Nothobranchius furzeri: one gene and its partner. The protein of the gene in region 2 interacts with the protein of the main gene of each other region in a pairwise test. Links are inferred from orthologs where the notes say so. Each region holds a gene or a part of one and is shown on either strand. Other genes may lie near its edges.

The links.
Region 1: the proteins of sufu (region 2) and glis3 interact in binary tests that used the Homo sapiens proteins (3 or more experiments, as listed by UniProt). The link is inferred for Nothobranchius furzeri from reciprocal best matches to the Homo sapiens genes SUFU and GLIS3.

What each region holds. Positions count from the first base shown.
Region 1 is NC_091746.1:53,233,667-53,250,152, reverse strand, and holds the start of glis3 (zinc finger protein GLIS3), read right to left. Parts: upstream 7,877-16,486; 5' UTR 7,360-7,876; intron 5,985-7,359; 5' UTR 5,882-5,984; coding exon 5,509-5,881; intron 5,049-5,508; coding exon 4,895-5,048; intron 4,816-4,894; coding exon 3,675-4,815; intron 1-3,674. UniProt on the Homo sapiens protein: Acts both as a repressor and an activator of transcription. Binds to the consensus sequence 5'-GACCACCCAC-3'.
Region 2 is NC_091752.1:22,193,022-22,209,591, reverse strand, and holds the start of sufu (suppressor of fused homolog), read left to right. Parts: upstream 1-9,054; 5' UTR 9,055-9,135; exon of another isoform or gene 9,136-9,225; 5' UTR 9,226-9,253; coding exon 9,254-9,402; intron 9,403-10,362; exon of another isoform or gene 10,363-10,462; intron 10,463-10,887; coding exon 10,888-11,022; intron 11,023-11,240; coding exon 11,241-11,377; intron 11,378-14,522; exon of another isoform or gene 14,523-14,572; coding exon of another isoform or gene 14,573-15,506; intron 15,507-15,572; coding exon of another isoform or gene 15,573-15,751; exon of another isoform or gene 15,752-15,952; intron 15,953-16,570. Other genes in the region: mettl18 (histidine protein methyltransferase 1 homolog), read left to right, coding at 3,362-4,324; SCAN domain-containing protein 3-like, read right to left, coding at 14,573-15,506, 15,573-15,751. UniProt on the Homo sapiens protein: Negative regulator in the hedgehog/smoothened signaling pathway. Down-regulates GLI1-mediated transactivation of target genes. Down-regulates GLI2-mediated transactivation of target genes. Part of a corepressor complex that acts on DNA-bound GLI1.

The DNA of each region.
Region 1 (16,486 bases), on a different chromosome or scaffold from region 2:
AAGTGTTAGAATCTTTAAAAGAGGAACAAACATGTAAAGGCCAACTTTACACATAGTTTTAATACATCTGCAGTGGTCTCTAGATGGAATGGATGCCTTGTAAGTTGTTCTCTGGGGAATAAAAGCTCTGATGCACCTGTTTGAGGATGTAGAAAACAGCTGGAGGAGAAAGTATCTTCAGACGGCATGATATTTGGACATCTCGCCTCTGATTGACTAACAGCAACAGGGGGCGTGTCCAGGGAGTGGCCTGGGGTAGCACATGCCACCCTTAGAATCTGATTGGCCACCCCAGGTGCCACCCCACTGTTCCAGTTTAAATTGACTTAACATTGTCGACAAAAGGCTTGGGTTGTAAACTCCAAAATAGTGTGTGGTTGCATGCACCTTTCACCTTGTTTTCTAGCCCAGGTATGTAGTATTAATATTATTTAATATTTTTTCATATTCACATACATAATATTTAGAGTCCCACTCAACTCCAGTTGGTAATGCAACAAGAAGTGACTTGCTAACCACCACAAAAGTAGAAGATGAAGAGGGAAAAAAATGGTGATTGTGCAATGTGAAACTCAAAAATTCACTAGAAAGTAAATAAATAAACGATTTGCGTAAATGAATAAATAAGCACAACCATTGGTGCCACCCATGAATAAACAAGTGCCCCACATGGGCCACCCCATTTTAAAAGTCCTGGACACGGCTCTGAACAGCAATGCAACTCTACCAAGGACTCAATTTGCTCTGCAACATTGATGTTTCAGCTCCACAAAAAAAAAAAAAAAAAAAACCTGAAGGAGTTCTGCAGTATGGTGGAGTTACTAATGCTAATAATTAGCTCCAATGACCCGAGACGTTCTCTGCTGTTTCCTGGACGCTATACCAACAGCAGCCTTCCTTGTTGCGAGCCAAGATGGCTGTGTCCATGAATGTTAATTGACAGCATGACGTAGATCTGTCAGGCTTTTCTGAACCTAGCATTTTCCTTCTCTTTTCTGTCAGAAGCTAAAGCAGGAAATAGGGGTAGAAGACTATTTTCACATTCAGCCTGCATGTTAAACTCAGAGTGACTCTTCATTTAAAAAAAGAATTTGTGGTTTCTCAGTGAGCTTGCTCTTTAATGTATAAATTGCAGTTGCACACAAATGGTGTGCTGTATCCAAATTTATGAAGTGTGATATGGAGACATATAGAGACAAGTCTGGACCTGTCCCTTATGTTCAGCGTGTAACAAGAGAGGAAAAACGGCTTTTACATTTTCTGTTTCCACCCACTCATCCATTTTTTTACCTTTGAGTTTATAACTCATCCTCAATCTTATTCAACTGAATTAAAACTGTTTGAGTAAAGAGAGAAAAAAGTCCAGAACCCTGGAATTTGGCTAATCTTGAGTTAAATAAATATATATAAAAATGAAAGCGTAATAAGAATATTGTTCAAGTTTTTTTTATTACTCTAAATATTTCTAAAAAGAACAATAAGTATGAGTTTTACTTCTTGTTTCTAGTTGTTCCCTTAAATCTTCCACTGTCAGATGAATCCAGAGAACGATACAGCACCATGGCAACAGAGCTGGCTTCAGGTAATAAGTGAGTATTTTGGAGCAGAAGGTCGACTGCAGGTATGCATGAAGTTAATAATTATCTCGGTGAAAGCACCAACATGGAGTGTGTTTGTTAATTACTCAGCCAAGTCTCACATGCTTCCTCAGAGGCAACAAGGAACAGAAAGAAAACTATGTGATCAATAAAAACGTTATAGTGCAGATTCTGTTTCTTCTAACCCTGAACCCATCCGTAAGAGAGGTTTGATCAAACCACTCAATAAATGCTAGACCGACTTCTACGTCACTGATCTGAAAGACTGTAAAATAACTCTGAAAGGTTCCAACGTCCTTTGAGTGAATAAGTGGCCATGCAACAGATCAATTGTGCCCACAAAACATCAGAAGGCTGTAAAAAAATTTTAGTTTATGTTTACTCTGTAGATTTTGAAGTAATGGAAGTCACATTAGGATGTGGATGACCAACAAATCCTTCAGGGAGAATTCCTTTAAGAATTACACACCCCTGGCTGCAAAACCAAACTCCTTCAGGAAGATTTAGGAAAGTCTAGAGAAGTGGTGTGCAATGGAATAACTTTCAAAACTGTGATCTTCATAGACGAGTGACTGGAAGAAAACTTTTCCAAGAAACTCCCAACAAGTTAAGCATCAGAGGTTTGTAAACAAAAACAACAGCGGCCTTTAAAATATTTTTTCAGAAACCATAAAAGAAGGAAGTAATTTACCTTATTTTCTTGAGCACATGTGGTGGCTTTTAATTTTTATTTATTTCAAAGGATGCATTTTCCCCAATCTCTAGCTCCAAGGTTGCACATAAGCACAGTCGTAATAAGCATTAAAAGATAGTAACAAATCTTTTGAGAAAGAGCAGTTTGGCATCCTGAATAAAATCCATCCTCCAGGCCAAAAAAGGTAAACAGTAAAGTACTAGATTACTGTGGCATCACCTTTCTAGAACTACAGCCAAGTTTTTCAGACTTGGTGAAGCCGTGGCTGCTGACAGCTCCAACAGCTACTAAAGGATCATTGTGCCATGCCAAATACAAAGTGCTAGACCCCTTTTTGTGCTTATTTAACAACTATATCATTGAGGTAATTCTCATGCCAGTTGTCACAGAGCTCTGCTAATTGCACCATGGCTTAAGTTAAAAAGAGAGGGAGGCCATATTTGATCCAAACCTTGGCTAAATCTCATTGCACATGAAGGCGTTTACCCTGACAAAGGCTGTTCTTTTGGCTGCCTGCGGTATTAAACTCTTCATCTCGATACTGTGGCCTTGAATGGCACAAACCAATTCAAACTTAGCTCCACCATTCATCATGCGTCTGCTTTGAAGGCATTTAGTCGTCCATTTCACTTTCAAGTAGAAAAAATGTCATCAGAGTGAAAGGGACTTTTGCTATATTTGCATTTGGAGGAAAGAAACTCAAGACAGAAAAACTTAGACAGCAACCCATTACTTTGTTCTTTTTTTTGTGCGGTTTAGTAAAAAAATTAGTTTTTTACCTGACATGTTTCAACTGACGCCTCTAGTCATCATCAGAGATCGCCGGTGTTAGTAGCGTTCCTTCCATTTATCCGCAGACAGCAGAGGACGATGTCAATGTCCTCCTTGCTGATGGCACTGTCTCATGCGTGGTCCAATGTGAATACTCCATCGTCTCTGTTCATGGTTTTGTGTGTAAGTCTCCATATTTCTATCACTTCTTTGATCCATCTTTTGTATTTTTGTTGTTCTGTGTTTATGATCCGTGTACTGTCCCAGTCCACTGAATGGTTTTCCTTTGTGCAGTGGTCGGTTACGGCTGTTTTCTTTATTGTACTTTATGCTTCTTGTGGGCTTCTTGCGGGCAGTAGAGGGCGACATCGTCCTCTGCTGTCCGCAGATGAACGGAAGTGACGCCACCAACACCGGCGATCTCTGATGATGACCAGAGCCATTAGTCGAAACATGTCAGGTTGAAAAATAATTTTTTACTAAACTGTGTAAAAAAAGAACAAAGTAATGGATTATAAAGTTAAACACAGAACGGACGTACAAAAGAACTTAGAGAGCAAGCTTCTGAATTCAGAAGGAAGGACTAAAAGAGACTTGTGTGCAAGTTGTACCGAGCATTTGTTGGGTTTCTCTCCTGAATGAACCCTCATGTGGATAAGAAGTTTGTATCGGGCGTTGAATGGCTTGAGTTTGCGTGGACATCCCACCCAGTAGCACGTGAAATCCTCAGCCTTTTGCTGGTCCACGTGCACCTTCTCTATGTGCCTTACCAGCTCCTCCTTTTGGTCACAAACCGTGCTGCAGTCCAACCACCTGCAGCAATGGGTGCCATAGTCCTCCACCTCACCTTCCTCCTCCTCCAGCATCGGAATCTGGGGTAAAAACCCAACTCCGTGCCTGTGTGGAAGCATGGGGCCTGAGACAGGGTTCTGAGAAGAAGCCTTAATTTTGAAGGGATGTTTGGAGATTTTTATGTGTTGGTGTGAGTGGTACGGTGGTGGTGGTCCTTGTGGAGTAGCAGCCTCTTGTATAGTGTCCAACAGCGTTGGCTCTAACATTAGAGGTGGGAGAATGTTGTTGAAAGTTTGGCTGCAGCTGCCTGAAGTCGTCTCCAGGATCCCTCCTTTGTCTGGAAGGCACTGCTGCTCCACCATCATGTTTGCCATCTGGCCTTCCAGACCCAGTCCCTCTTCAAGCATCTGCAAACGGCCACACTCTGACTGTGGGGCCAAGGCTTGTGAGAAGCTGGCTATGCTGCAGGGATGGTTCTGGGGTATACAGCGACCTCTCACCCCCAAGAAGTGACCATATCCTTCAGACTGAACTGGTGAGAGAGTGCAGTGGGAGGATGGAGAGCTGCGGGAACCATTGACATAGGCCACAAGGGAGGTTGGCGAGGTGCGTATGATGGCATTGAAATCAATACCCATGACATCAGACAAAGGCGACGTGGAGAGGGCTCTCTTCTTTGCACGAGATTGTTGGGGGCTTCCAGCCTCAGCTGCAAATAGGTACGAGGGAAGGGAGGCAGAGGTGCTTGTGCCACCCGATACGGTCGTGCCCGACATGGCAGTTCCAGGAGACAGGCTGAACTGTTCGCCACCCTCATTGGCCTGGGTAGAGCTCTGAGTTACTCCCAGGGGAGGAAGCACACGGTAACCATATGGCCAGTCATGTTTGCCACTAAACACTGACTGTGTTTCAAACAGGCTGAGGGTAGTTGATGCCAGGGACTCTCTGGACAGTAATGACCTGAAAGAGATCATTTTTATTTTATTTTCAGGAACTTTTTGCAAGCGCACCATCACATGGACCCACTGACGGTGCTCACCTGGCATCGGTGTTCGGAACCGGCATGCTATGATACGATGGGAGCTGAGGCACCGCGGGGTATTGCTGGCCTGACAGAAAACTACAGGTCAGCGTTTGGCTAGCACCAGCTGCCTCACTGCATACACCCCCATCGGACCCAGGCGCTGCAGAATCTGCTGGACACAAGCCAATTATTTAGTAAAAAAAATATACAAGTGAAAGCAGAACAAAAGCTTTTATCCACATTTAAAACAGAACTAACTCAAACGCAAAGCTTACAAACTGGATGGTGGATTCATTTTCCTCATTAACCTAAACAGAGCCGAGATACTCTGCTCCGTTAATCATTTACACGGTTTTCACCTCCCACCACATGACTGTAGAACTTTTAGGTTCGGATTTTATGCCTGATAAACTATCTGTAAACAAAATAAATGGTTTAGCAAGATGACAGTGAAGTGAGATCATAGTAAATTACTTTAACTTCTGATTTCTTTTGGGTGAAATGTGCTTTCAATGAATGAGTGACTACGTTAACGTGTAATTCAAACGGCTGTTAGAGCAGAGCTTCGGTTTCCTCCTAACAACTGGTTCTGCTGGATTTTCTTAACTTTTCCTGGGTGATGCCTTTACCTGTAAAGCTGTGGATGGAGGAGCTGTGTCTTCTTGGTTTGGCAGTGGTTGCTGTTGTTTTTAGGGAATGCTGAGCAGGTTGTTGCATCTGTGTTGTAGTGGACTCATTTGGATGTTGTCTGTTGTTCAACACCTGTCCCCGGAAGCTCAGGGCAGGCAGGACAACAGGGCCTCCGCTTTGTTTCCCTGATGTAAAAGTTTGGTCAGTTCCTCTTTTCACTTTCTCTGTCCTCCCTGTGGATGAGTAAAGTCTGGCTTGTTGAGGAGAAGACACGGGCATCCTGATGGATTGGGACTGGTGTCCTCTAATGATACTTAGTGATGGGGACATATTGCAAGGAGACACTAGGAGCTGGCAGCCCTTTCCACTCATGGTTGAAGTAAATTCCTCAGGGGGTATGTGCTCATGAGTGAGCGGCAGGGTTATTGTGTTTTCAAAGTTTGCTGTGAAAAGAAACTGAATCCAAGGTAAACACCTAGAAAAAGATAAACAGACCATAATTAGGCATCGGGAAAATTCCAACTAGAAACCCTTGACAGATTTATCAAGTATATTCCTTTATGTCACACATCACTGTTTCAGTTCAACAAACAAATATAACCTTATTAAATACAAAATTACTTATGATATTAAGTGTTAAGGAACAAACATGAGCCAAATGGCTTAATTTTTCTTAAATCAGCAAACATATGTTAATATCAGACAAAGATAGTTGGAGAACTCAAAGGCCTGTCTCACATTTGCCCCCAGAAAACCATCCCCAATACTGTTTCATTCCCTGTACACTTGGGCTAAACCTAACTCTGTGTGGGGAGCCTAACTCCTCCCTTTCAGGTCGGCTCATGTAAGTGAATAAGGCTAAAATAGTTATTTTCAGGTCTGCTTTGCTTGAATCACACGCAAGTTGTGCTTCAATTAAAACGATAAATAAATCTGTTTGTTTCTACCAAGGTCTCGTTTGAGGATGAGTGGGGATAGGGCCTTCTCAGTGTCGGATCCAAAGAAACAAGCATCTTCTGTTGATCAGGGATGATCTGGCTTTTACCTCTGTGTTAGCTCTGTGTTGTTAGCTTTCTCCCGTTCTCATTTTATTTGTCTTATTGTGTTTTTGTGCTTCTTTTATGTTGTTTTATCAGTTTTATTATGTCTGTACAGCACCTTGGTGGCATATTCTATGTCTGTAAGGTGCTAGATAAATAAAAGTATAGTTTAAAGTTGTGTTTCGACAACGTCTTTCATGTTATTTGAGATTTATTAGCTTGTAAAGGTCCGTAATTAAAGTGACTACAAATCAGAAGTCAATTTTTCACATAAAACCTGAAATAATTTTTGCCGACTATCAAAAACGAGCACTTCACTTCCTTTGCATCAAAACATGTCTTTAAAAATACACGGACATCATATGTTAAAATCCATGGCACATATCAAACTTTTATCATTTTTGACAATAGAATTAACCGGAAGAAGCTGGCCATGACTTGGGCTCCTTATTTCAGAAAAAGAACATAGCTGCAGCCAAACATGGTGGTGGTACTGTGATGATCTGGTGCTGCAGTGCAGCTTCAGGACCACTATCTATCTATCTATCTATCTATCTATCTATCTATCTATCTATCTATCTATCTATCTATCTATCTATCTATCTATTGGTATCTATCTATCTATTTTTTCTGAATACATTGTCTTAACTATAATATAAGGTAAATTTTAAATGTTAAATAATTTTATGGGATCATAATTATCAGGATGCCAACTATCTGCTCAGTTTAACCACTAAACGTTAACAGCAAACAAATAAAAATTAAAAAAAAAAACGCCAGTTTCACTTCGTCCATGGCGCGTGAACTCACCTTTTACCGTTTCCACATCACATCGGAGCTGCGACTTTAACATAGAGTTGTTGAAACTTTGGTACAAGTCTGAGAGCAGGCGGCTCTCCGCTCCCCAGCTTCCCTGCTCTCTCATTCAGGAACTTTTTTTTTGGTCGCCCTTCTTCCCGGTTACACTTTCGCCCTTGGCACGGCTGCTTGAGAATTACATCATTCAAAACCAAGTGCAGCTTACGAGTAAATTATTAAGGATGCTTTTGCGAGTTTACCGGTCACGCGCCGTTTCCAGCTGTGTGCGTTTGTGCGCGTGACTTTACAGTAAGTGAGCGCGCGACTCATGCGACTAGAACTGTTGGCACGCAAGTGTTTACCTGAAAATAATAATGAATTAAATATAATTCTTTCAAAATTTTGCATGAACACAACCAGATTTTCCCACTCAATACAAAGAAAACCAACAACAACAACAACAACATTATTATTATTATTATTATTACTACTACTATGAATAATAATGATAATAATAATTTACTTCAGCAAATTGAATCCTTTACAAACTGCAAAAATAAATTAGAATCTCAATCAAAGTTGGAGATGCATTTGACATAAACATTAAAACGTAAGTAAGTAAGAAAATTTTATTTATATAGCACTTATCTCAGACATAGAATTACAAAGTGCTTCACATAGATCAAAACAAAAATAAAACATAAAGTCATAAAAAATGTCTGAGATGCTAAATATTAATATATAAAATGCAAGTATAAATTTTCTTAGGACTAAACCCCGTTTTGCTACAGAACAGCTTTAATTATTTGTTGAACAATCGAATTGCTCCATAAAGGCATCACACAGGTGCAGCAGATTTATCAGTTCTACACCCATGCAACAATATTCAGGTAGGCTGTGGTGTCTAAACCATGCTCAGGTGGTACTAAAGGGTCCAAAGGGGGCACGAAACATCTCCCCCACACCATGACAACACCGGCAGCAGCCTGAAGTGTTGATACAAGGCAAGATGGATCCATGCTTTCATTTTGATAACACCCAATTCTGACCCAACCATCTGAATAGAATAGAATAGAATAGAATTTATTAATCCCAGTGGGGAAACCTGCTACAGCAGAACATTCACCAAAGGCAATGAGTTATTATTGTCACCTTCAACCACTAAAATCAACGAATAAAAATAGAACTTGGGTTTTCAGAACTATGCAGCATAAGGGGCACAGGCATTCTAATTTACATCTACGTTAACATTTATGCAGTACACAATGTTGAACACCTATGAAAATTGCATTGCATTGATGTTATTGTGTAACAGGATAATGCCAGTACCAGGTAAACTGAGGAGTTAAACACTCTTACTGCAGAGGGGATGAAATAACTACGGAATGCTGCAGCTGAATCAAGACTTCCCACTCTCTTTTTGTCCAGTTTTAGGAATGCTTTTCGAATTGTTGACTCACTTATTTTGCATCTTTACAGCTGTGAGACCCAGCACCATGTTGAAAGTCACCTTCGTCCCCGTTTTCACTTCATTCTGATGTTTGGCGCTTGAACTTGAAAGTGTCGTCCTCATGTCTGGATGCGTCAAAGCATTGACTTACTGCCATGGATCCAGTTAGCAATTTGTTTTAGTGAGCAATAGGGGTACCTAATAAAGTGGCCTGATTCAGTGTAAGATGGTGTGATTTTAGTAAAGAGCGACAGCAGCGATTCTGTGGAGAGAAAAAAAAATTAAACGTTCAGTCAGAAAAAAAACCCCACCAAACAATTGAATTATAATTTAAAATCTGGTGTGTTAAATTAGCGAGATGACAAAAGATGTTTCATAATTAACAGGGTGTCACGGTCTGCCCCTGCCTCCCTGACTGTGTCTCTCTCCTGCCCTTGATTAGTCTTTATTGTTTTGACCTGCCCCTTGTTTACCTGCCCATGTGCTCCTCATTTGCCCTGTGTATTTACACCTCCCTCCTTGTATCAGTCTTTGTCAGATCATTGTGGTTGTTTGTCATCGTTGTCTTGTGCTGTTCGTTCCCATTCCACCATTAAAACCATTTTACTTTATCTGAAGCCTGCATCTTTACCTCCTGATCTGCGCCACCACACATGGTCCATACACTCCTACACCCGCAACGTGACACAGGGAGCACAAACTGAACTTTGACATGTTCGATGAAGTGTGCAGTGGCATTAAATTGATTTGCTGACATCTCAGTTTTGTAAAAACCTTTTAAAACACCAACAATTTTTATAGATCGCTTTCAAGAAGTCACATTTCTTGTAATCGTTTAGAGTGGTTATGATCAATAGTTCTTCAGGTTTGCTGATAGTCTTCTAACAATCTTTCTTTCCTTTTTTGTCCAGTCCCTGAGCATGGCATACAAATTGTACAGTCAGATGAGCAGCATCTGATAAAAAGAGAAATAATCCATCCCACACCTGGATTTTTTTTAACACTGAGGCCAATTATAACTCTCTGCGAGACATCAACACAGATGTTGTTCTACAAAGAACAAAAGAAAAAACGAAGTTTAGTGATGTCAGATTCATGTTCTTGACCTTTAGTTGGACTTTTAGTCCAACAAGTTTCTTCTTGTGGGTTTTGATTATTAACAAAAACAACCAGGAAGAACCAGAGTCTAGATGATGTAACCCACATTACACCTGCACAGGTGGATTACACCACGCTTCATTTGATCAAGTATTAAAACTGGATCTGCAATTTTTCCCCTAAATGTAACTTATTTATATTAAAAAAACTTTTAATGATCCTGTATTTTATTACACAGTGTAATATTTCAGAGTCCAGCTTTAAAGTAACACTGTTCCTGCCTTACTGGTTGAAAGTGGAATTACAACTGTCATAAACATCCCTGCAGCACACTGTTGTAGCTAGCACTAACAACAAACTAACATTAACATGAACCAACTAAGACTTAAATAAACCACAAAGTAAAGTGATATAATATTATTTATTTTATAATTTTAAACATATTATTACTTCCAAGTCCATTTGCAACAAAGCCAGGTCACCATCAGTCCGTGTTTTTTTTAGCCTCCTTTAGTTCCCTCAAACTAGTGTAGGCAGCGCTGATGTTCATTCAGGTTTTAGCTTTTTGCTTCAAAGACATCACTCTCTTACTTTTATTTCCAGGCTCCGCCATGATGCCAACAGGAAAAACAAATTTCTTATTGACGATTGGTGGACCGAAAATGCTAACCAATAGCATTACAGCTAACAGCTTCGTTCACGTTTTGAGATTTGTGCAGGTAAAGAGCGCCCCCCCTAGAAAAACCTACCCGCTCCAAAAAACTATCCAGTGCGGTTTTTGGTCAGCAGAGGGCTGCAGGGTGGTGTCAAATATAAAACTGGTCAAGTTTCTACCCAATAATCACTGAGATAAATGTTAAAGCTCTGGCTTAAAAAAACAAACAATCAGTGGTTACTTGAAGCTACCAGAGATAAAGCTGGTGTCCTAGTAGAGAAACGGCTGCACTGAAAATTTCAACGATGACAAACCATGAAAATCCTTTTTTGTATAGGACAATGACATTGTTTATTGAATCACAATAAGCTGATTAAAATTCACAATTACTCTTGTTTTTCCCATTTTGTTGCCATCAAGCAGTCCCAGTTTGTTTTTGGAAAATGGATTTGTAAATTACCCTTACCCTCATCTGCTCCTCCACCTGTTTCCCCTCTTCCTCCCCCTCCAACACTCCACACCTCCCATTGTTTGGATCCTTTTTTATTTGTTGCTGAAGTGTTTGTCTGTGGATGATGCTCCAGGATGGCATGGAAACCAGAATGTTTACAGACAGGGACGGTTTTGCAGAGCCTGTGCCTCAACAATCTGTACTAGAAGTGAACTTTAAGTTTGTCAGAGGATATAAAAATAAAGCCAATCATTTTTCCTGAGAGGTATCTGGCTACTGGAGAAATGAGCATACAGGCATAATCACAGCAGGGACATAATACTGGGCACAGGGATTTTGCTATGTGTTGTATTGTTTTAGTTTAACTGCAGAGCTGTAAAAAGTATTTGGCCCCATCCAAATGTATTCTGTTTTTGCTTATTTGACACATTTAAATGTTTCAGATCAACAAAGTAATCAGACAACGATAACCTGAGGGAATTCAAAAAAGCAAATGTTCATGTGATGATTTCCTTATAAAGGTCATCCAAACCTCAAAGTAAAAAAACAAAAACATGTATTCGAGCCTTAAACGTGCTAAATGGTTGTAAAACTACAATAAAGCATTTGTTATGACAGAGTCTTTGTTTAAGCGACACTGGAGGGTTCTCTAGCATGAATGACTATTTTAAGGTCAAAGGTCAGGATTTTCTGGTAGAAAACAGAATTCAAGGATTCACCATCACAGCAAGTTACAGTACCTGAAGCATCAAAGCATCCTCAGACCATCACACTACCGCCACCATGCTCGACTGTTAGTGTAAAGTTCTTCCTAGTGTCACATCAGACGTAAAGGGAAAGCAGAAGTCTTGAAGATCATTAAGATGTTTTTAACCTCAGTGTTGTTTTGATCAGCAAACGTTTTGTCCCAACAACCCTTCATAGTTGTCATATTTGTCCCCCAGCTCTTTACTATTGTTTAATCTGAACACAGCTTTCCATATATTGTGGTTAATCTCAGCTGACTCATGATGTAACAAGTGAGACATTTTATATCCTGAAGTAACAAAATGGCATTTAAAAAAGAACATTTTGTATTTACTTAAGTTATCTTTGTCTGATGAATCAACAACATCAGAAATCATGAATTTTCTTTTTAACAGCACTTTAAATGAAAACAAAAATGTTTGTTGAAATCAACATTAAAGTACTGCTAAATATTTCCCAACTGCCTCCTGCAGAGTTAGCTTGATCACTGGTCGTTGCTTTCATCCTGAATTGAATTCACCATGATCACTCTGTTCCCTCTCTCACCAGCAGGGATCACTGTTAGTACACTAATGGCTTGGCACTGCTGTTTTCTTGGCAGCACGGTGCCACTGAACATTTCATGATGTAGAAAAAAAAAAAGAATAAGAACAAAGACCTTCTCTAGATGTCAAAGAATGAGGTTTGGAGGTTTGTACATATAAGACTGCCACTTGTTTACATAATTAAAGCAAATGCTTCTTGTCTTTAAGGAGTCTCTTTTTTTTTCTTCATCTAAGCGAGCCTCTGCACCTTTCTAAATGTCACAAAGTAATAGGATGTTGAAGCATCTGAGCTGGAGACAGAACAACCGAAATAGCTTCTTTACTGAGTCATGCATCAATGCTCGGAGCAACAACAGGTTGAAGAACGCATTTAAGGATTTGTGAAGAAAAGATAACAGGATCGCCAACAAAAAAGACAAGATAAATTTAGACGTAGGTGTGGACCAGTAACGAACAGCTCCATTTGTAGCAGAATTAATGCTGAAGCAGACTCTTCCCCCACTTATAGAATCCATTTTCTCCCTGACAGCTTCAGCCATCCTGGAAGCAGCGACGCATTCAAAGTGGTGTCAAGATGAGAAATCAAGGGTGATTTCTCTTTAAGTTATATTACAGTGGTCACTTACATTAATGCACACCACAGTGAACCTGTGATTAATTAATCTACTTTTGATTTGCTAATGACATTTCAAGTTAAACACAAGGTTAGCGAAGGCTGAGTCAATCCTTTTAACTGCAGAAGTAGGGAGCGGTTGTTGCAGTAAGTGTAGGAGATATCAATTTATTGGTACCATCCCTCATCGTAACGACTCCCATTAGCCTGCAGCGCCTCGCATATTCATGCTTGGGACGTTCGAGAGTTGCACAATAGACCAGAGTGAATTAAAAGTCTCACAAACAACAAAATCACTCATGTTGTTTTGCTCTTCGCGGTCTAAAATTGACGTTTTGTGAGACGTACAAACCTGGAGGGTTCTAAATAATGTGACCTTTGATTCACAGCTCATCATCTGTACATGAAATACAGAGGGAAGAAGTCCCACGTCCATCCATCTTCCTCTATACCGTCAGTACCAACATCCAGATGAAGATGAGTGTGAGAGAGATTGGCTCCAACTCAATTCATCAATCCGAGTCGCTTATAATCTCAACGGAGAACGATAAAATCAAAGAGGGGACAGCGGGGAGCCCAGACGTTTACATCCTGTCCTCCAGGCTCTGTCTCCTGTCCCTTTCTACTGTATTTTTCAACAGGATGACTCCAATAAAAGAGTGCTGACGCCACAGCGTGCATGTTTAGATCTGCTGGTATGCCACAGGCTTGTTATAATTTGAGCACGCACTCAGGATGAAGCCTAAGGGTGAGTGTGCTGCAAGCTCCTTCGTTCACGTTTTGATATTATTCACGCCGCGCCTCTGGAATTGCATCAAGGACAGCGAGGCCCGAAGGCTGGAACACAATCAGAGGATTCGCTCCAAAGCTGCCCAATTGACATCACCTCCAAAGGTTTCCATCAGTGATTGGACAGCATAAAACACAGATCAAAATAAAAATAATGTATGATTAGTCTTGCATGTTGCTTCTGGGGATACATAGTTTTGCAAAGGGTTGTGGGGCTTATGTTCCGCTCAGGGATTTTGTTTGGATTGATTAGGTGCAGTGTGACGATGAGAGCTGTCAGATCATGTAAGACAACCTAGATGTTCCAGACGGAGAAGAATGTGTCATTAGACTCCTGCCTGTAGCCCCCCAGTCAGATCCTCCCAACATCCGTCTTCATTAAAGAGGTTGCTCTCGGAGCAGATGGTCATTAACAGCAACCCCCTTCCTTGGTCGCTGCGTCCACTCTGCAGCAGGACACTACCTAGAGGATGCCCGGCATCCCCGTGGGAATCCCTGAAAACCGCAACAAGGAGAAAGTGGTGCAACTTGGTAATGACCACCCTGGGATCTTCATAAATATCCTTTTGAAATATTTCAAACTAGAAATAGTGAAGCATGAAGGCTGGCCTCCTTAGCAGGGCTTTTGATGTTGGACAATACTCATTGTACACAGTTTTTGCAACAAGTGAAGACAATCATTTACAAAACTTTTTCAATCAAACTTGATTTTAGCTTCAAAGTGTCAATGTGTCATTTTTACAGTTAATCTCTGGAAATATCCATCTGAATGTTGTTGAAAATGAGTGAAATGATGCCCAGTAGAAAAATATCGGCAGCGTTGTAACATCTAACCATAAAAATCAAGTGTAAAATACATGCAAGTGGCTCTAAGTCTCTAGGTGAAGCCATAATAGATGCCATGTTTTCTTCTACGGGAGCCGGTGAGGACAAAACGCATTTACTGATTTGCAACAAACGGTTACAAAACTTTAACCATTCATAACCATTGTTGTTTTACACATTTACCTCATCGCTCTTTGCCAGTGATGAAAGGGAGTCTGATGTGCTTGTCATTTTGTTGGAGGGTTTGTTCCCAGGGATTTTTGACCCTAATGGCCATCTGTTGGTAAGGTCTTACTTGAACACAAAAAATACTGCTTGCTTACAATGATTTAGATATGTACTGCCCCTATCGCCTGGGAAAATACACACTGTCACTTTAAAACAATGAAAATTTAAGACAAAATTCATTGTAAACATTTCAAACTCAAGGTTTTCCCTGAGCCCTACTGCACCCCTAAACCTGAGGTCATAGAAAACTTATCTTTTATACTATGATAATTTGTTGGAGTCCCATATTGCAGACTTAGAGGCAGAGAGGTAATGTGAATTTAGTTTGATTGATAAAGAAAATCGACAAAGGCTGAAGCATGGGAGGGTCTCAGGGAAATGGCAACACAACAGTGGCAATAACTGGTGGACCTGGCAACAAGCTAGAAAAACCAGAGAATATATGTGAAGGGAAGAGGCGACTGCAAAGTGTTTGCAGCTGAGTTCATAAATGGATGAGGAACAGGTGTGAGAGGCTGAGTGACAAGGACAATAATGAATCTACATGGAAACATAACTACAGAAACATGACTAAATAATCATGAATGTAGGAACAAACACCCAAATGTCAAAATATAAACATTTGCTTTGCGCACAGGTGGTGTAACTGAACTGTCATTGGAGACCAAAAATGTGTAAGCTGAGTTAATCCCTGGTCTCTACCAGAACAGTGTGCTTGCTTTATATTTACATACATGTTTCTGCTTTTTAAACTTGATTTTAAAATATCCTGTTTTGTGTTTTCAGTTATTTCTATTCGTTGACTGGCCAATGTGTAGGCAGGGAATGTGCTATGTAAACAAATTAGCCTTTCTTTTATTTAAAGGGGACATATTTTGACTTTTTTATAATAGCCCAGTGGTCGATACAAGTTCATGTTCATGAAGGTTTTTTCACTAAATCCCTCTCATGTCTGATTTCAGCAGTTTTACTCTTGATATTTTCAGTACCTTCCAGAATGAGCCATTTCAGGACTCTGCCACTTTATGATAATAAGCTGCTGGCCATGCCTACCCATCTCTCATTTGCCGCTATAAGCCAAGAAGCTCTGATACCTGGGAGGGGCTTGTAGAGGAGCCACTGCTCCTGCAGCAGCCACTGTTTTTGGTTCTATTCAAATTTCTCCATTTTTCCATCACAAACACTAAAATAAAACAGTCTGATATTTTTTCCTCATTTAGAATGTTCATAGAGCCACATAGCAGCACAAAACATTGCAAAAGGTGAGTTTTTCATATCAACTCCCCTTTAAAAAAACTATTTTCTAACTGACATGACAGGGTACAGAACCATCCATCCATCCATCCATCCATTTTTGGCCTCTAATCCGGGGTCGGACCGCAGGGGCAGTAGCCTAACGTGTCCAGGGTCTTCTTTTAGGTCTCCTCCTGGTTGGATGTGCCCAGAAAACCTCATCAAGGAGGCATCCTAACTAACGCCCGAGCCACCTCAACTGGCTCCTCTCGATGTGGAGGAGGAGCGGGTACAGAACTTTATTATCTAAATCAAAACGCCCTAAAACCAAATATGGTTAGTTTGGGTGACTTTTGAGACACCAAGCAGTTGGATGATCTGTAGCAGTGAGCAATGCAATGAGAAATGGGTGTATAGAAAGCTAAATGGGCCAAATTTCAATGAAACAAATACATAGATGTTTGCATTTGTTTCTCTTTCTTGTTAAATGAAACCATGAACCCAA
Region 2 (16,570 bases):
TCTCTGCCTCTGCCAGCTGCAGTAAATGTAGTTTCCAAATAATAAGAGGTGCATTCATCTGTGTATCTCCTTTGATCCGCATTAGTGATATTCTCAGCACCAGAACAGTGAAGCAAAGAAAGATTCCTGAGTTTATGTTAGTAATTTTATTTATTAGGTGCATCTTTCCTGTTCTATTTTTCTCTGAAATGAGATCAAATCAGTGCTTCTATGGGTTGTCTCCAATCTGCACTGGAAAATTTTACTTTATTTAGAGACTTGTTGCAGAAAATATTCAGAATGTGCAGTTATTTGCTACCACAAGCGATCTCTGGTCCAGCCGCACATCAGAGCCTTATTTGAGCTTAACTATCCACTACATGAGCTACTGGGAGCTACATAGTATTTTGAACAAGTTAATGTTTGCACAATACGTTTGCAATTGACATGTTTGCACTTTAAATATGTTTATGATTTTAATTTATGTTAAGTTACTTGAAAAACGAGAAAAACTGATTTTTGTAATTGTTTCTCTCAGGGCTTTTATCATCTCTGGTGTGAGTTTAAAATATAAGTGTGTTAGCACTGTGCTGATTATCCCTAATATGAATAAATGTTTATTTATTCAATGTTTCTCTTCTTTAATACGCAATTGAAGTTATGCTATTCATGGATAAAAAAAAATCGTGATAAAATCGAAATCGTGATAAAATATTGGAAAAATCGTGATATTCTATTTTTGCCATATCGCCCAGCCCTACCAGGCGCTCGCTCACAGGCCCCAAACCTAGGCCTGGCTCCAGGGTACGACCCCGGTAACCCTCCGGGCCGGGTACTCCGACTCTTTGACTTTACCTCCATGAAAGATCCTGTGAACCGTTCTTTGTCTCACCCTTCACCTAAGACCAATTTGTCATGGGGGACCCTACCAGGGGCACAAAGTGCCCCAGACAACTTAGCTCCTAGGATCATTAGGGCACTCAAACTCCTCCACGATAAGGTGACGGTTCAAGGAGGATGATTCTTAGTTGCACCATCTAATTACATAACAAACCATTTTTACAAATGAATCTTATTTTAGTCTGATTATTTGTATAACTACACTTATTACTAATTCATCTACTGTTCACATGACTAAACAAATACATATCACTCCCCTCACCCTCTGAAACAGGCAAACAAATGGAGACGAGATGGAAAAAATATCTGTTGTTAATATCGGTCCGGTTTTATTTATCGAACTGATACCGATGTGTTAAAAATGACTAACATCGGCCGATACCGATATTGATGCCAATATATTGTCCATCCCTACTTATTACTACCATCAAACCTTTTCCGAGTTCAATATTTGATCAACTTTAAAGCAACTCACGATTTGATTCGATTCCGATTCTTGGGGTGCCGATTCGATTCAGAATCGATTCTCAGTTTAAATCGATTCGCAATCAATATTAACAAAGAGTGTCAGTTCCAGGATTAACTACTTTGTTGTGCAAGTTAGTTAAAGCTATGGGATTTTTTTATTTTACTTTAAACTGGTCATGCTAGAAAAAAAAAAGCTAATTTACAAGGTAAAATAAAGTGATTCTAAAACTGTAAACAGAAACAATCTTTTGACCAAAAGGCAACATTTATTTTTGCTTACCTTGTAAAATATAACAAATCTTTAGTTACCTAACAGTAGCTTTGAAAGTAACACGGTCAAATACTTTTTAAGTACCTGTGGAAACAAGTTTAACATTTGAGTCCTTGACCTGTTTAAAAAAAGTGCCTCAGATTTCTTACAAAGGAAAATGTTTTCTCTCATTTATCAATAACTTTAGATAAACACATGAGTAATCCTGAGTACTCACTTTTCAACTTAGAAAATATATATGAGAATATCTAAAATTTCTGTGTATGGAAAAAAAATGCATTCTTGTCCCCACTTATCAGCAGATTCAAACATAAATCATCCCAATTTATGGGATCACAAAAGTAAACGCAGTACTAACTCTCCTAACAAAGACCAATAAATCATACAAAAGTGCATCTCAAACCTGTAACATGCCAAACATTTGAGTTCCTGGAATCGATTCTGAACCTTTGTGAATCGATTCTGACTCTTTTTAAATAAGAATCCTGATTCAGACTTTAATCGATTTTTTTCAGCACCTCTAGTGCTTTATGTAGAAATGAAGTAAAAATGACATCCTGTGGTAAAATTTGCAACCACTTTAAACAACTCTGGAGCTTTTTGCTGGCCTTTGTCAAATTACAATTGTCGACGCTGCAGTATTAGCTCGCAGGAGACATGGCAACCCCACACTCACTGATGATAAACAGTAGTTACGTCCCTCCTTTCTTTGTTTTGAAAGGAGAAAAACAGACAGTTCCCTGCAGCCAGCTGGAAATGAAATATGTTTCAGTACAACCTTCCTTCCAAATGACTGAAACATTAGACTCTTTGGGGATTTTCTCACTGTAAAATTCTCACTATATTCTTACATATCATTCTTTAATCATAAAAAGCATTAGGTGTTTGCAATATAGAAGACTTTAATGCATGCAATAATCAAATAGCCATGTTTTTAGTGTGCCTCCACTAGAGAGCATCAGGTCATAATTTTTATGTTTTGCCTTTCAACTGTGACCTCATAGGTAATAGTCATGTGAATAAAAATACTGGCAGGCTCCTCCCGAATGGGGATTGTGTCAGACACAGAAGTACAGAGGCATGCAACAAATACACTGTCCTCTTTTTTTACCTGACATTTTTCTCGTCTGGTGGGTGCGGCACACGACATTTGCGATTACCTAATCACACTGGGGAATCACATGGTAGATGTGTAAGAGTCTCGTGTTGAAGTCCGGTAACCAGTCAAACTGCTTTTTAGTCATTAGGCTATTTTTAGAATGAATAAAAAGTGACAGAGGTAAGCTACTAGTTCAACCAATGAAGGCATCAAGGCTCACATCACATGACTTTGACAACAAGTCATTTACTAAACCAAAAATAATTTAGCTTTGCAAGTCGGGTTAGGATTATATAGTCACATATATAGGAAGGCTTGCCAGACTAGTCTTTGTGTCCAGAGCTCACACTGTCACCATAGTAATCTTTTTTTGTCTTTTCTTTTCATCAAAACTGATAAAAGATTTCTCATAAAAAAACACACTTTGGGTTGGCCTCCTTTCTTTTTTGCCATGATGTCACATTGCTTGATTGCCAGAAAGATAAACCCTGCCTTCATACCACATCTCTTCTGTAACCACATGGGAGATGAGCAGAAGCTAGTTGGCTGTGTTGATTTTGACTTCAATGTAAAATGTTAATCAAGTGGAGCTGTTGTCAGACTGAAACCCACTGTCATAACCACGTACTGCTTTGTGTTTGCAGACAGAAGACATTAACGTATCAGCGGGGCCAGTAAAAGAAGCCAAAGAGCACCTTCCACCACCTGACCCACAGTTCCTTCCTATCGATGTTGTATTTGAAACAGTTGCAATTGGAGCTCTTCCTCCTCTGCACTTCCTCAATGAGACCATCTTTGAGAGGACGGCCTCAGAGAGAAAAGACGAGGAGAAAATTCTTTCTCACAGCACAGAGCAGAGGTCTGATCTCATCTCTGGCATGTACGAGGGAGGCCTGAAGGTGTGGGAGTGCACTTATGACCTACTAGAGCTGCTTGAGAAAGACGGAGAGACGATCAGGGGCAAGGCGGTTCTGGATTTGGGCTGCGGAGCTGGACTGTTGGGAATTCTGGCTCTGAAGAGAGGAGCCAGACAGGTCCACTTCCAAGATTATAACAGTACAGTCATCGAGCAGCTGACCCTTCCGAATGTAATGCTAAACTGTCAAGAGGACGAGGATGTGGACTGTGAGGATGACAAAAAAGGGAAGGGAAAAGGGAAGATTCAAGTGAAAGAGGATAGTGAGAAGAAAGGTCAAGAGGGGGTCAACTCTGGCCATCCACCTCCTAAGAAAAGAGCTCTTGACATTTCTCGGCACCAGTTACTCAAGAGATGTTATTTCTTTTCTGGTGACTGGAGGACATTTCTTCCTTTGGTTCTTAAACGAGAACCAAAGCCCAAGTTCGACATAATATTCACCTCAGAGACCATCTACAACACTGCATACTACCCTGCTTTGCACGAGACCCTCCACAAACTGTTAGCACCCGATGGTCTGGTCTACCTCGCCACCAAGTCGCACTACTTTGGTGTCGGCGGTGGGCTACATCTGTTTGAGACATTTGTGGAGCAGAGGGGTGTTTTCTCTCTCTGTCACCTGTGGGATGGTGAAGAAGGCCTTCAGAGACACGTAGTAGCGCTTCGCTTCAAACAGCCCAAAATCTGTTAAACAGGATTGAAATGATTATTCATTAATTACCATATGGAAACGAGGTTTTAATTGTAACCCTAACCCGAGAACAAGGAAAAACGAATAAAAGTCTTTCTGTTTTTGCTCTTTCATCGCCTGCTCAGTCTTTTGCTTCCTTTATAGAAATTTGAATATGTCAGTAACTGAAGTGCTGGTGAAAAGGGGCTGCTGCAGGTCTTTAGATGCACGGGGAGAAAAGAAAGGAAATGGGCTCGGTGACCTTTTCGAGTGTTTTCCCCCCGTGTTCAAACGCCAGCATGAAAGCCAGGCTTGTTTCTGCAGTCCAGCACAAAATGTCAATTGCAACTTATCCCACCAGCCTAAGGATGTCGTTTGAAAGTGGATTCTAGCGCCACTGCACATCAATAGTGGGTTTCTGTGGGGTCTCTGTACCTCTTTTTCAACTGGATATATAATCTAGATGGGACCCTTTTGGAAAGCAAAACGATAGAAGTATATACATCCCATAAACAGGACGGTTTGAGTAGGGAACCACGCTGTTATTTTTTCCGACACCACCTGGAATCCCTGTTCCACCCAGAACAAGGAAGTCCACTGGAATATTCTAGCAGGGATTTTTTTGGAGGAAGAATGCATCAAGTCTGGGCTAGTTCGAGCTGAAGGTTTGCAGATGCAGCAGGACGATGAAATCAGTGGGGGGGGGGGGGGGTTTACAGTCGAAACAATGGAACGGTGTGAAAAAAGCTTTTCGTCATGTTTGACTGTGATTGAATAGCTAACAGACTTTCATTAGACTATTGCTAATATGCAAATATCCACATTACTCAAAACCCATCCCTAAAACGCAAAACCATCATGCTGACTTGATGAAAAACAATATTTAACACCCATCAAACCTCCTCGAGGAAACGTTAAGTCAGCAGCGCAAGCATGACGATGCATTTTCACACCCACGCGTGTGTGTGAACAGATTTTCCATTTTCTTATTATGCAAATATACTTAAGTAATAAACACTGGTTAAACACGCCAAACAGTTTCTGTGTGCACAAACGGCCTAGCAAACTTCCAGCGTATCAGCTCTCATCTAGACAGCTGTTTGTGGCCTGCGGGGGAATTCCTGGTTCCCTGAGTGTACGCAGCCTTTCCCCTGCCTGCTTTATGGGAACAGGGGGCAGGGCAAGTCAGATGGTTTTCCTCAGAAACTATTATGTGTTGATTCACTGCGAGGGGGCGTGCTTTTCACTCCCACTGCTTCCTTCTTACTGGGAAGTGACAGTCAGGCTTACCGTATAGAGGGAGTGTGTAAAAAAAACTGGGGAGGCTTTAATAAATAAGCTTGTTTGCTCTGAATGTCAGACATTCTGCCACATCCTTCCTTACGGTTTGGAGGAGCCGAACGTGCAGTTGAAGTGGGAAGAGATATAGGAAAATGCTCTGAGATGACTTTCTGTTGACAAAGTGGCTGCTGGGCTGCGATGGACTGGCTCTCTGTCCAGGGTGTACCCCGCCTGATTGCCCATTGACCGCTGGAGATAGGCACCAGCCCCCCCGCGACCCTACGTGGACAAAAGCGGGTTCAGACAGTGGATGAATGGAAAGTGGTTGCTGAGGTGTGTTTTAGGGTGGGGAATATCTGCCTTTTATTGCAGGGTCCGACAGATCCTGGATCTGGAAATACAAATCTTCAGTGACAGACTCAGGTAAGTGGTTCAAATAGCACTTTTTTCTTTTGCAGTTCCTGACCATGAAAAATTAGGTGTCTATTAAAGACTTTATATAGCCTTTGAGTCTGAGTTAATACCTCCTTAGGATATTTCTTGTCCTGTAAGAAGACTGGTCCAGGCTGCAGAACCGGTTGTTTCCCAGTCCAACTGACAGAAAGATATGAGTTTCCTGGATGTGTTCAGGTGTGGCCTTCCTTAGAAAGTTCATTGTACCGAACTGTTCTCCAACAGAGCACCGGCTTTAACAAGTAAACCAAAGTCTTCCAAGATAACATTGACTAATTATCTCAGTCGCTGTAAATATCGACTCCAGACCTTGGATGAGATGTTTTTATTTCTCTCTTTTTTTTTCTTTTTTTTTTTTGTACTGACTGGAGGGAATCTGTGCAATGTAGTACAGTCCAGAGTAATATCCAACTTTTGTTTATTAGGCTTAATAACACATTTACCACCTGTATGTATGTAATCACACCCTATCAGGAGGTAAAGATAATACTTTATGCGTTTCCTTGAACAGAGAGCTTGGTGGATAGACTTTCATTTTAATAGATGCAATTTTTTTTAAGTTTGGATAAAAAAAAAATAAAATAAATAAAAAATCAGAGGTTGTCCAAATCTAAAAATGGTGAGTCACAACTCATTATTTCTACTTTTTTCTGTAATCCAGATTACTAGAGGTTGCTGTAAATGCCACTGTTGATTAATAACTGTTGGAGATCAGGTTTAGTCACCAGTTCGGTGGTCTCTTGCTCAATTTTACACTGGAAAAGCAGAGCTGACTTTATCGTCTCATCATGTTGGGTTTCTTGAGAAATGGGGTGACTTCACACCATGTTCAGCATGTTTCGTCCAATATTTTACACTCTCTTTCCGTCTAAACGTTAACTTTTGCTGTAACTGCAAATTTGAATCTTATGTATGGGTTAAACACTTTCTCTTCAATCCAACAGGGTAACAGCTGGTCTACCGATGCTGATGTCATTCAAGATGCATCTGGAGATGTCAATTTGTTACGTTCCCTGCTGTGAGAACTGAATTCCATAGATGGTGGCATTTTCAGGTGTCATCTATGGGCTCAGTTCTTTTGGCGTGGTTCTGGTTTATCAAATGGGTCAGCACCGGGCAGCAGTGGTCGAGACCGTGTAAAAGCAGAAACACATGAATTTTCTGCTTTCCTAGAGTAACGATTCGTCTAAATCATAAAAAAGTCACTTTCTGATGTTTTCATTCTAAATTATTGTTTGGATTAAATTAAGTATAACTGAAATGTTGATTTGTTGTAGCAACTTTAACACTAACTAAGCATTTGATCAGATGTGCAAAGTGTAGCTGAATGTAAGACCCATGTAATGAAGAAGAGAGATGATGGGCTGCTGCTCTGTGCCCTTCCTGATGCTCACTGACAGTTTTTTAGAGCCAGCTGTGACAAAATGTGCGGTAATGGGTGGAATATGTGATTTAACTGTATTTTAGAAATATGAAAAAGCTTTGACTAAGTGTCTGAGAGGGTTCATTTCCCCAAGTTTAAAAGAAAAAATGCATGAATGTCACTCATTCTGAAACACATGGAATTTCTTTGTTGTTCATTTGAACCCAAAAGCCATCAAATATGAAACAGATGATATCAACTTGATGCTCATAACATCCATCGGAATCATCACAATCATAGGTCGGCCACGTCACAATATCAAAGCTGAGCTTTTCAGAGTGACGAGTCTGTACGTATATTTTCTGTTCTTAATCTATTGCCTGAAAGTTTCCCTACAGTTTTTACTCACGCCCTCAGTAATAGTTGGGTTCTCTGTAAACCTGAGAATCCTCCTGTTCCCAGGCCATAATGATCAAAATTCAAATTTTTTTTCTTTCACTGTGATCCACGACAGTTTTTAAAATTACTTCTGTTTTTGTACCAGAACAATATAGTTATTATATAGTTGAGCCACAGTGGAAACTTTGTAAAATATGTAAACTACATTAAAATGCACCAAAAATATAAATGTGAAGAAACGTCACATTAATACTGTGTTTTTTTCACAATACTGTCTACAGAACTTTGTAAAATAGATTAGCCTATACACAATAATGATTTAGGAAACAGATATAGATGTACATGAATATAGAAGTGATTTTATTATCACTGTTGTGACCCGGAATGTCATCTGTATGTTTATATGATGTTCATTTAATTTTTTGTATGTAACTGTCTTGATGTTATAAAATAAAACAACTAATAAAGAACAAATTATCATGCAGTTGTCTTCATTGAGTTCTGGACAATAATTAAGTAAAACCCCAAGCTTATTTATAGTTCCATGCTATATGGAGCAGATATTTAGGCGTTGTTGTTTAATGCAATTCAACAAATGCCCAGCTTTATGGTTGTGGTAGTTTTTTTAAATGGTGGTTTTGCCAAATGTATATCAGTGAGTGCAGCCGGCCTTCATGACACATTCACTTCAGTTTTATATTTGATTTAGTTATTTAAGTATTGTGATGATTTGTTGGTTACAAAGCACAAAGAAATGTGAAGAGAACAAGTTCTTAAAAAGACTACATGAACCCAAACAAAACCAGACATGCAATTGTTTGAGTTTACTATTTATAAGGAATGAGTCATAGTTTTAGAAAAAAACAGCCCATTAATGCTGTTCACAAAAGTTTTACTTCCTGGCATAACCTTGTGAAACATAGTTTTATATTAGTTTAGTTATATATTTCTTAAAATCTAAGCTGTAACATTAGTTCATTTATTTATTTATTTTAGTCTTTTGAAATTTCATCTCAGACGTTTCAATGGAAAACACTTTGCTGCGTATTTTAACACCATATGTTTTCAAAAATGAAACTCTAAAATTATGTTATCATCTGCCCCCTGAGAAACTTCTGAATTATGAGGACCCAACCCTGAACATATACCCGCCTTCTTACAACCACTCAGCCAATCACAGTCATGTTTAAATCCATATTTCATTGTCATTGGCTAACAACACCATTCACTCAATGACGTTTACACCGGCCCAACCAATAGTTGAACAATTGAATGCTCCCTTTTCTCTATTTTGTGTACCAGGACGAGCAACAGGCTCCAACAACGTTTTAGCACAGTAATCTATTTCTGGTTACACAATTCGTTTGTGAAGCATTCATGTAGGTGAACAAGTTAACTAAACGGATTATACGTTGTTTCTTTATAGAAAAAAGTGACTTGTTCGAGGCCCTGGCATGGATGAAGTACGGCCTACCAGTGGTGCCCCAGCCCACGGGCTGGTGCCGCTGTTTCCTCCGGGACTACAGGCTATCTATGGAGAATGTCGGCGACTTTACCCCGAGCAGGCCAACCCTCTGCAAGTTACTGCCATTGTTAAGTATTGGTATGTAACATGTTTTGTTTTTGCTGGTATAATTATGCCTGCGTGAAGTTTGTGAATGCGTTTATTTAGCTTTAGCTAAATGCTAGCCTTCAGTTAGCTTAGCCTACGTGCTAACGTAAACAGTTTTGCTAACTTTCTAAACGATCGTGTGGCCAAAAAAAACTGCTCACGCTATATGTGTCCCTTACAAAACACGATACAAGCACAGCAATATTCAAAAGACAACCTAATAAAATAATACGTATACAGAAAATTTGACGTTATAATTCTTAACTGATTTATTGTCAAATATTCAGTATCTTATAATTCTACAGTAATACTTTTAGCATGGTGTTTGAAGAATAAACCTATCTAGGATAATATGTAGATTTCACCTGAACTCTACATGAAGTATTACACTTTAATCCCCAGAATCTCCGGAAAGAGGAAAATTGGGGTGAGGCAACCTATAACGTTGTTTTTTCAGTATAAAACAAGAAAATATGAAATGCAATCTTCATTATCACATTAGACTGTTTTAAATAGGATTTGATATTTGCTCAGTAGTTGTGCTGAGGGTAGAGGTCTTATTCTTAACCCATTTATGATGGAAACTCATATTTAAGCAGTTTTTAAAATGTTGCCAGGGACATTTAATAGATCAAAGAAAGCAAATATTTTATATTTCCATTCCTAGAAGTACAATTCAATTCAAAAATACTTTATTAATCCCAGAGGGAAATTGATTGCTGTAGTAGCTCAGAATAATAATAATAATCAAGTCATCAAAGAGTTGTTGTATATTACAATGGCTGTTGGCAGGAAGGATCTCCACTAGTGATTACTGTTGCAGAGAAACTGAAGAAGCCTCTGACTGAAGACACTCTTCCGTTGTCGGACAGTCTTGTGAAGAGAATGCTCAGGGTTGTCCATAATTTTCTTGATTCTCTGGAGAATCCTTCTTTGCATTATCTCCTCCAGTGGTTCCGAAACTGCAGAAACTCTGGCTGAGTCGTTGAAAGGACCTCCATCTTGTTGGCCAGTGATCTCACATTGCCCATTATGATCAATGGAAGAGATGGTTTGAATTTCCTCTTTCTCCGTTTCCGTTTTGCTCCCGCTCTGCACCCACGCTTCTTGCGTTTTAGCTCATTTGGGATTTGTGGCTTCAGTTGAGGTATTATTTCAGCCTTTCCAATGTTAATCAGCTGCTCCCGATTGTAAACTAGCTTGTTGCCATGGTTACACATCATAACAAATGCTCAAAAAGGGAAAAAAGCTATAAAAAAACGAAGGCTTGAATAATATTATATGTTGTGATGATGATGTTATGATTTAAACAATATTTTCAATAAACTTTAGATGCTTCAGCTAACATCTGTTATCCAGTATCAAACAAGTCAAGCAAGAACTAAATATGAAAACAAAAACTAGCAAGTAATTTTACGCCCCACATGCTAACTAAGTGCTCTATGACTGATGGTTTGCATTTTGCTCTTTTAACAGGCTTGGTGGACCAGACCCTTTAGACTACATCAGCATGTACAGGAACATGGGCTGTCCAGCCCAGGACGTCCAGGAGCATTGGCACTATGTTAGCTTTGGCCTGAGTGACCTTTATGGAGACAATCGTGTTCACGAGTGAGTGAAGGAAAAGTTTTATTATTTTCTAATATGACAAGCCACTTTGTGTAAAAAATATGTAAATTTCTAGTTAATTTAGTTAAAAAGTGGGGTGTCACCAGTCAGTCGGATAAATATTTGCACTATACACCTTTTACAGTGAAACCTTCAACACCACATGCAAAAACCACTGATCTTACTGGCTCATGCTCAGTGTTGCCTCACCGTTCTTGCAGATTTACTGGAGCAGATGGACCCAGTGGGTTTGGGTTTGAGCTCACTTTTAGACTCAAAAGAGAGGCGGGAGAGACGGCACCTCCAACGTGGCCAGCTGAACTCATGCAAGGCTTGGCTCGCTATGTGTTCCAGTCAGGTAAGATTAAATGGTCATCTTTTAGCAAATCTGCAGTGATTGACCTTGGAGAAAAAAATTTGTTTTTTTATTTATTTATTTTTGCCTTTTTTCTTTTTGATTAACTTTTAATGTTCAAGAATTGTTTTTATTCAGTCATGCATCCTCTAGGATAACTGAGAGTGTTGATCGATTCAGCCACAGTTTATAGATCATCTACTGCATGTTTGTGTTTTGCCACCACAGCAGGATGTTGTAAATTTAAAGGTCATGCTTTTTGTGCATGCTGCTTGCAGTTACAGTATTTTGACATCATAGCTGAATAGAAGTCAAGGCAGTTTCATTTGTATAGCACATTTCATGCACAGTGGCAATTTAATGTGCATTCCAATAGGGAGAACATTAAAATTTAAGATTTTTATTTAAAAGTTTCTAGAGTTGGGGCACATTTGAGGTCACAAAGAAGCTGGGTCCATCTGTTTGCAGCATAGTAGCTAAAAGCAGCTTCACCCTGTTTGGTTCTGACCCACAGTTCTACAAGCTGACTGTTTCCTAAGGATCTCAGAGCTCTGCTGGGCGTATAGGGAGCCTAAGTCACTTCCGCATCATGGTTCCCCGGAAGAACAAAAAAATGAATGCAAGTCAACAGGGCTAAAAACGCTATTTTCTAATCCGCTTTGCGTTACGCCCTGGATTGCACATATGTTGTACTGCAATTTAAATGAAAAGTAATGATGGGTGTTTCGACAACGCCAGTCACGTATTTTGAGATTTATCAGCTTGTCAAAATTCGTAATTAGCATGACCTCAAACTAGAAATCGGCACGTCGCATATGTGACATCACCACATAATCTCCTCTCCACAAAGTAGCTGCTACTTACCAAATGACCAGATTTATGGTGGTTCTTTCGTCCTGTGGGAAGTTCGCTGAACTTACAGCCATTTTCCCTCAGTTTCCTCCGTGTCTGGTTCGATGACGTCACTTTCGTGAAGCACATCTGTAGTCCCGGACTTATTTTCACACAAAACCTAAAATATCATTACCCCCCCCCCCCCCCCCCCCAAAAAAAAAAAGCGTGTTCTTGGTATCAAAATGTGTCTTTAAAATTCACTGACATCATATGTGAAATCCATAGCACATAACCAGCGGAATTAGCAAATTGCGTTTTTAGCCCCGTTGACTTGCGTTCATTTTTTCGTTCTTCCATGATGCGGAAGTGACTTAGGCTCCCTATATACAGGAAGGAGATCGACATGTATTTTGGCCCCATGCCATTGAGTGATTTATAAACTAGTAGAAGCACTTTGAAATTGATTCAGAAGTTTGAAGAGTATGCTGAAGGATGGAGTTGTTTGTATTTAAAGAAACCTCTTTTATTGTGTTTTAATATATTTTAAAAATAATTAACTCTGTAAAAATTAGGGCTGTAGCGAAACCTAGATGACGTCGACGGCTCGATTCTAAAAATTTGTCAATGTCAGATCCGGTAGTCGACGTACCACGTCCACTTGTTGCATCCACAGGAGTTTGTAAATAGAGGTGGAATTTGCTTGTTTTTCCTCTAGTTTGCCCTCTTCTCCACCTTCACTAACATCTCCACCAAATAAGACCCGGAACAATGTCTGTCCGCTACTAGATTCCTTTCCCGTTTTGCCCACCTTCGTCTCCCGGCAACGGACAACAACTTCCGGGGTCAGATGCGCTGCTCCGTCTCAATCGCAGATGTAGAAAATCACCGGGAGCGTTTGTATGTTTATTCTCTTACAGCGGGGTATACAAATACTATTTAAAAAGGTCCAGTCAGAAAGAATTTTTTTAGCCCAAGGTCCGAAAGATCATTATGTCCGACCTACAATAGTGTGACATGTATTTAAGTATCCTAGCAGTTTTATCAACATCTGCATTATTAATTTGCATATCAAATCAGAAATACTTCAGTGTAATTCAAATACTTATGACATTTATTGTCACTTAAAGTGTTGAACATGTAAATGATTTCTTTGGAATGTTCTCTCATTTACTAAATAAAAGTAGAAAAAAGTGTCAACAAGAAAATAACACATGGCAACTGAATCTTCACAAACTACTAACTTCAGAATAAATGTAGAAAAAGCTTAATTTTTTTACATTTTTCCTCTTCACGTGCGAACTAAAAAGTCTTAAAATGATTTTAAAAAATGTGACTTTGCACACATGTAATAACTGAACATATATTTAGGTTAATGTTTTCCACATTTTTACTTAGTGAGAGAAGTGAGCTCTTGCTTGTCCTGCCAACATTTTGAACCTGGGCTTGAATGGAGACAGAGCCATCCTCATGCATGTGTGGAGATGCTCATTGGTGAGCCTGGAACGATATTTGTTTTTTATAATGTTCATTGTGGAGAACGCTGCCTCACAGTTGTGGGTGGAACCAAACATGGTCAGGATGTACAAGGCTACTTTCTTTAGATGTGAGAAAGCTGTCTCAGGAACCATTTGGAGCCAGAATGAGGACGGGTCAGTCCTGGCAGACAGTTCTTTCATGGCCAAGTTTGCTTGGAGGTCAACTAACTCCATCTGAAGATCCCTGGCATTGACCCATTTAAAATGCTGTGTGGCTTCCTTTGAGAAGCTCCTGACATCTGTGATGAGGAATGGGTTCTGAATGAACATGGTGAGCTGCTGGCCAATGCTGAAGCTATCAAAACGATTGCTGAAGTTAGCAATAAGTTTATCAATGAAGACAACAAACGACGAGACATCTCGCTGTCCCTGAACCTGTTCCTGCACTGCTGGGAAGTGGACACAGTCTTCCTGCAAGTCCTCCTTGAACATTTCAAGTTTTCTCTGAAAGGCACGGACAGCTGTCATTAGTTCACAAATGGAATTGTCCTTGCCCTGTAGCCTCAAGTTCAGTTCGTTTAGATGTGAAGTTATATCAACCAAAAAGGCAACATTGTCCATCTGCTTCTCATTTTATAGAAATGTAGACAACTGTGTTGCCTTATGATGTTTTAGCTCTGCCAAAAAAGATGCTACTTCCCTCCTGATGGCCCAAAAGCGTGCTAAAACTCTGCCTTTGCTGAGCCATCTCACATTGTTGGGCAGCAGAAGATCATCAGCATTGGCATCAACTTCTTTGAGGAATTCTCTAAGCATGCGATGCTGGTAGGAAGAGGACGCTCTAAGAAAGTTGATCATTTTCATCACTGAAGTCATCACCTCAGCATGCTCATCTTGACAGGGAGGCACAGAGGACAGATTGATGAATAATGCAATGGTAGGTTAAGAGGTCAGGGTTGTCTTTCTTCATTCTTGTTACAGCTCCCTTTTCTCTCCCTATCATAGCAGGGGCTCCATCTGTAGTTATTGAAATCACTTTTGAAGGCTCAATTCCTCTCTTTGCCAACATCTCCATAATGGCCAGGTAGATGTCCTCTCCTGTTGTGCTGGTCTGAAGAGGAGTAATACCCAGCAGGTCTTCATAGAATGCTTTCTGCTCTGCGTAATAAAACCTCACATAAACCAACAGCTGAGCATTATCACACACGTCAGTGGACTCATCCACAGCCAAACCTACACATGGTGCCTTCTGTATGGCTTCATCTAGCTGGGCTACAACATCCTGAGTCAGTATTTCACTTTTCTTTGTAGCAGATGATGCTGATATGGGGATTTGCTTTATTTTTTCACAAACTTCTTGTTTTTCTTTTCCTTCAAACAGTGTTTCATCAACTGCTGTCATACACTCTTTGACAACCTCTCCATCAGTAAATGGTTTTTTGTGCTGACCCAAAATCCAAGAAACTCTGAGGGAACTCTCATGGGCTCGTTGCTGAGCAGTGAACGTGTGGCTCAGGATCCTGGTGGACTGTTCATATTGGGCTTTGAGACTACGTATTTTCTCTGATCTTACTTCTGATCTGAGGGGATATGTTTCTTCAAAACATTTGTGTTTTGTCTCATAATGGCGTTTCACATTGCCACTTTTAATAAGTGCCACTGTTTCTGAACATATGAGACAAACAGGTTTTGTGCCACCAGTGGGAAGAACAAAGACAAATGACTCTGTCCATTCTGGATTAAATGCTCTATTTTCGCTGTCCACTTTCCGTTTTTTAGAGGCTGCCATTTCTGCTTTCTCTACTTCTCTCCGTCTCACCCGCCTGAATCTCTCCTTGTCGCCTGTCGCCGCTTTCCTTTTCTCTAACTGAATTCCTCCTCCTTTACACCTGAATCTCTCCTTGTCGCTGCTCTTAGCCTGAATGTCTCCTTCTTTCCACCGCTCTCCGCCTGAATCTCTCGTTTTCTCTGTTCGAATTTCTGCTCTTCGCTGCTCTCCTTCTCTCCGGCGTCTGAACCGTTTATTTTCGCTACGTATCGCCTGTATTTTCTGGCAGGAATAAAACATGTTATTGGCTTGTTGGTGTCACGTGGTCTGACTAAACTCGCGCACAATTGGCCTGTGGGTGTTCGTGGATGCTAGAATACTACCGTAAAGAATGCAATAGCTGCACCGGCCAGAAGCGGTTATAAAATTAGGCGAACTTTATTTTGGCATTAGGCTCGGGTCCACACCAGACAGCATTTCGGTCCGGATCCGGACCCAGGTCCGCCTATTAGTGATCTCTGTCTTACAGTAACAATTTATCAATTTTTCTGAGGAATTTATTAGAGATTTTTTAGGTTTTTATTAACTGTGCAATAGAAAAATAATCATTAGATTAATTGTCTAAATAGTCATTAGAATAGTCGACTATTCGATAAAATAATCATCAGAAAAATCGTTTTAAAAATAATCGTTTACCCCCAGCCCTAGTCAAAACACATGTTGACTTTATGTAAATCTTCTGGTTAGTAAATAACGTAGTAAATAGAAATGTGGTTAACCAGGGAGGGGTTATTGATAAAGCCTCAAAGCAAAAGCAGAAGGCCGTTCGCTCCATTTTCGAGGTGTGTGTGTGTGTGTGTGTGTGTGTGTGTGTGTGTGTGTGTGTGTGTGTGTGTGTGTGTGTGTGTGTGTGTGTGTGTGTGTGTGTGTGTGTGTGTGTGTGTGTGTGTGTGTGTGTGTGTGTGTGTGTGTGTGTGTGTGTGTGTGTGTGTGTGCGCACGTGCGCTTGTCTTTATATGTTTAAGTGGAAAGTTTGACTTTAACCTGTAGTATGTGGACATTTCCAAATTGTGGGGACATTTTCCTTGACCAAATGAACGCCGACTCTTTTATCTTTGT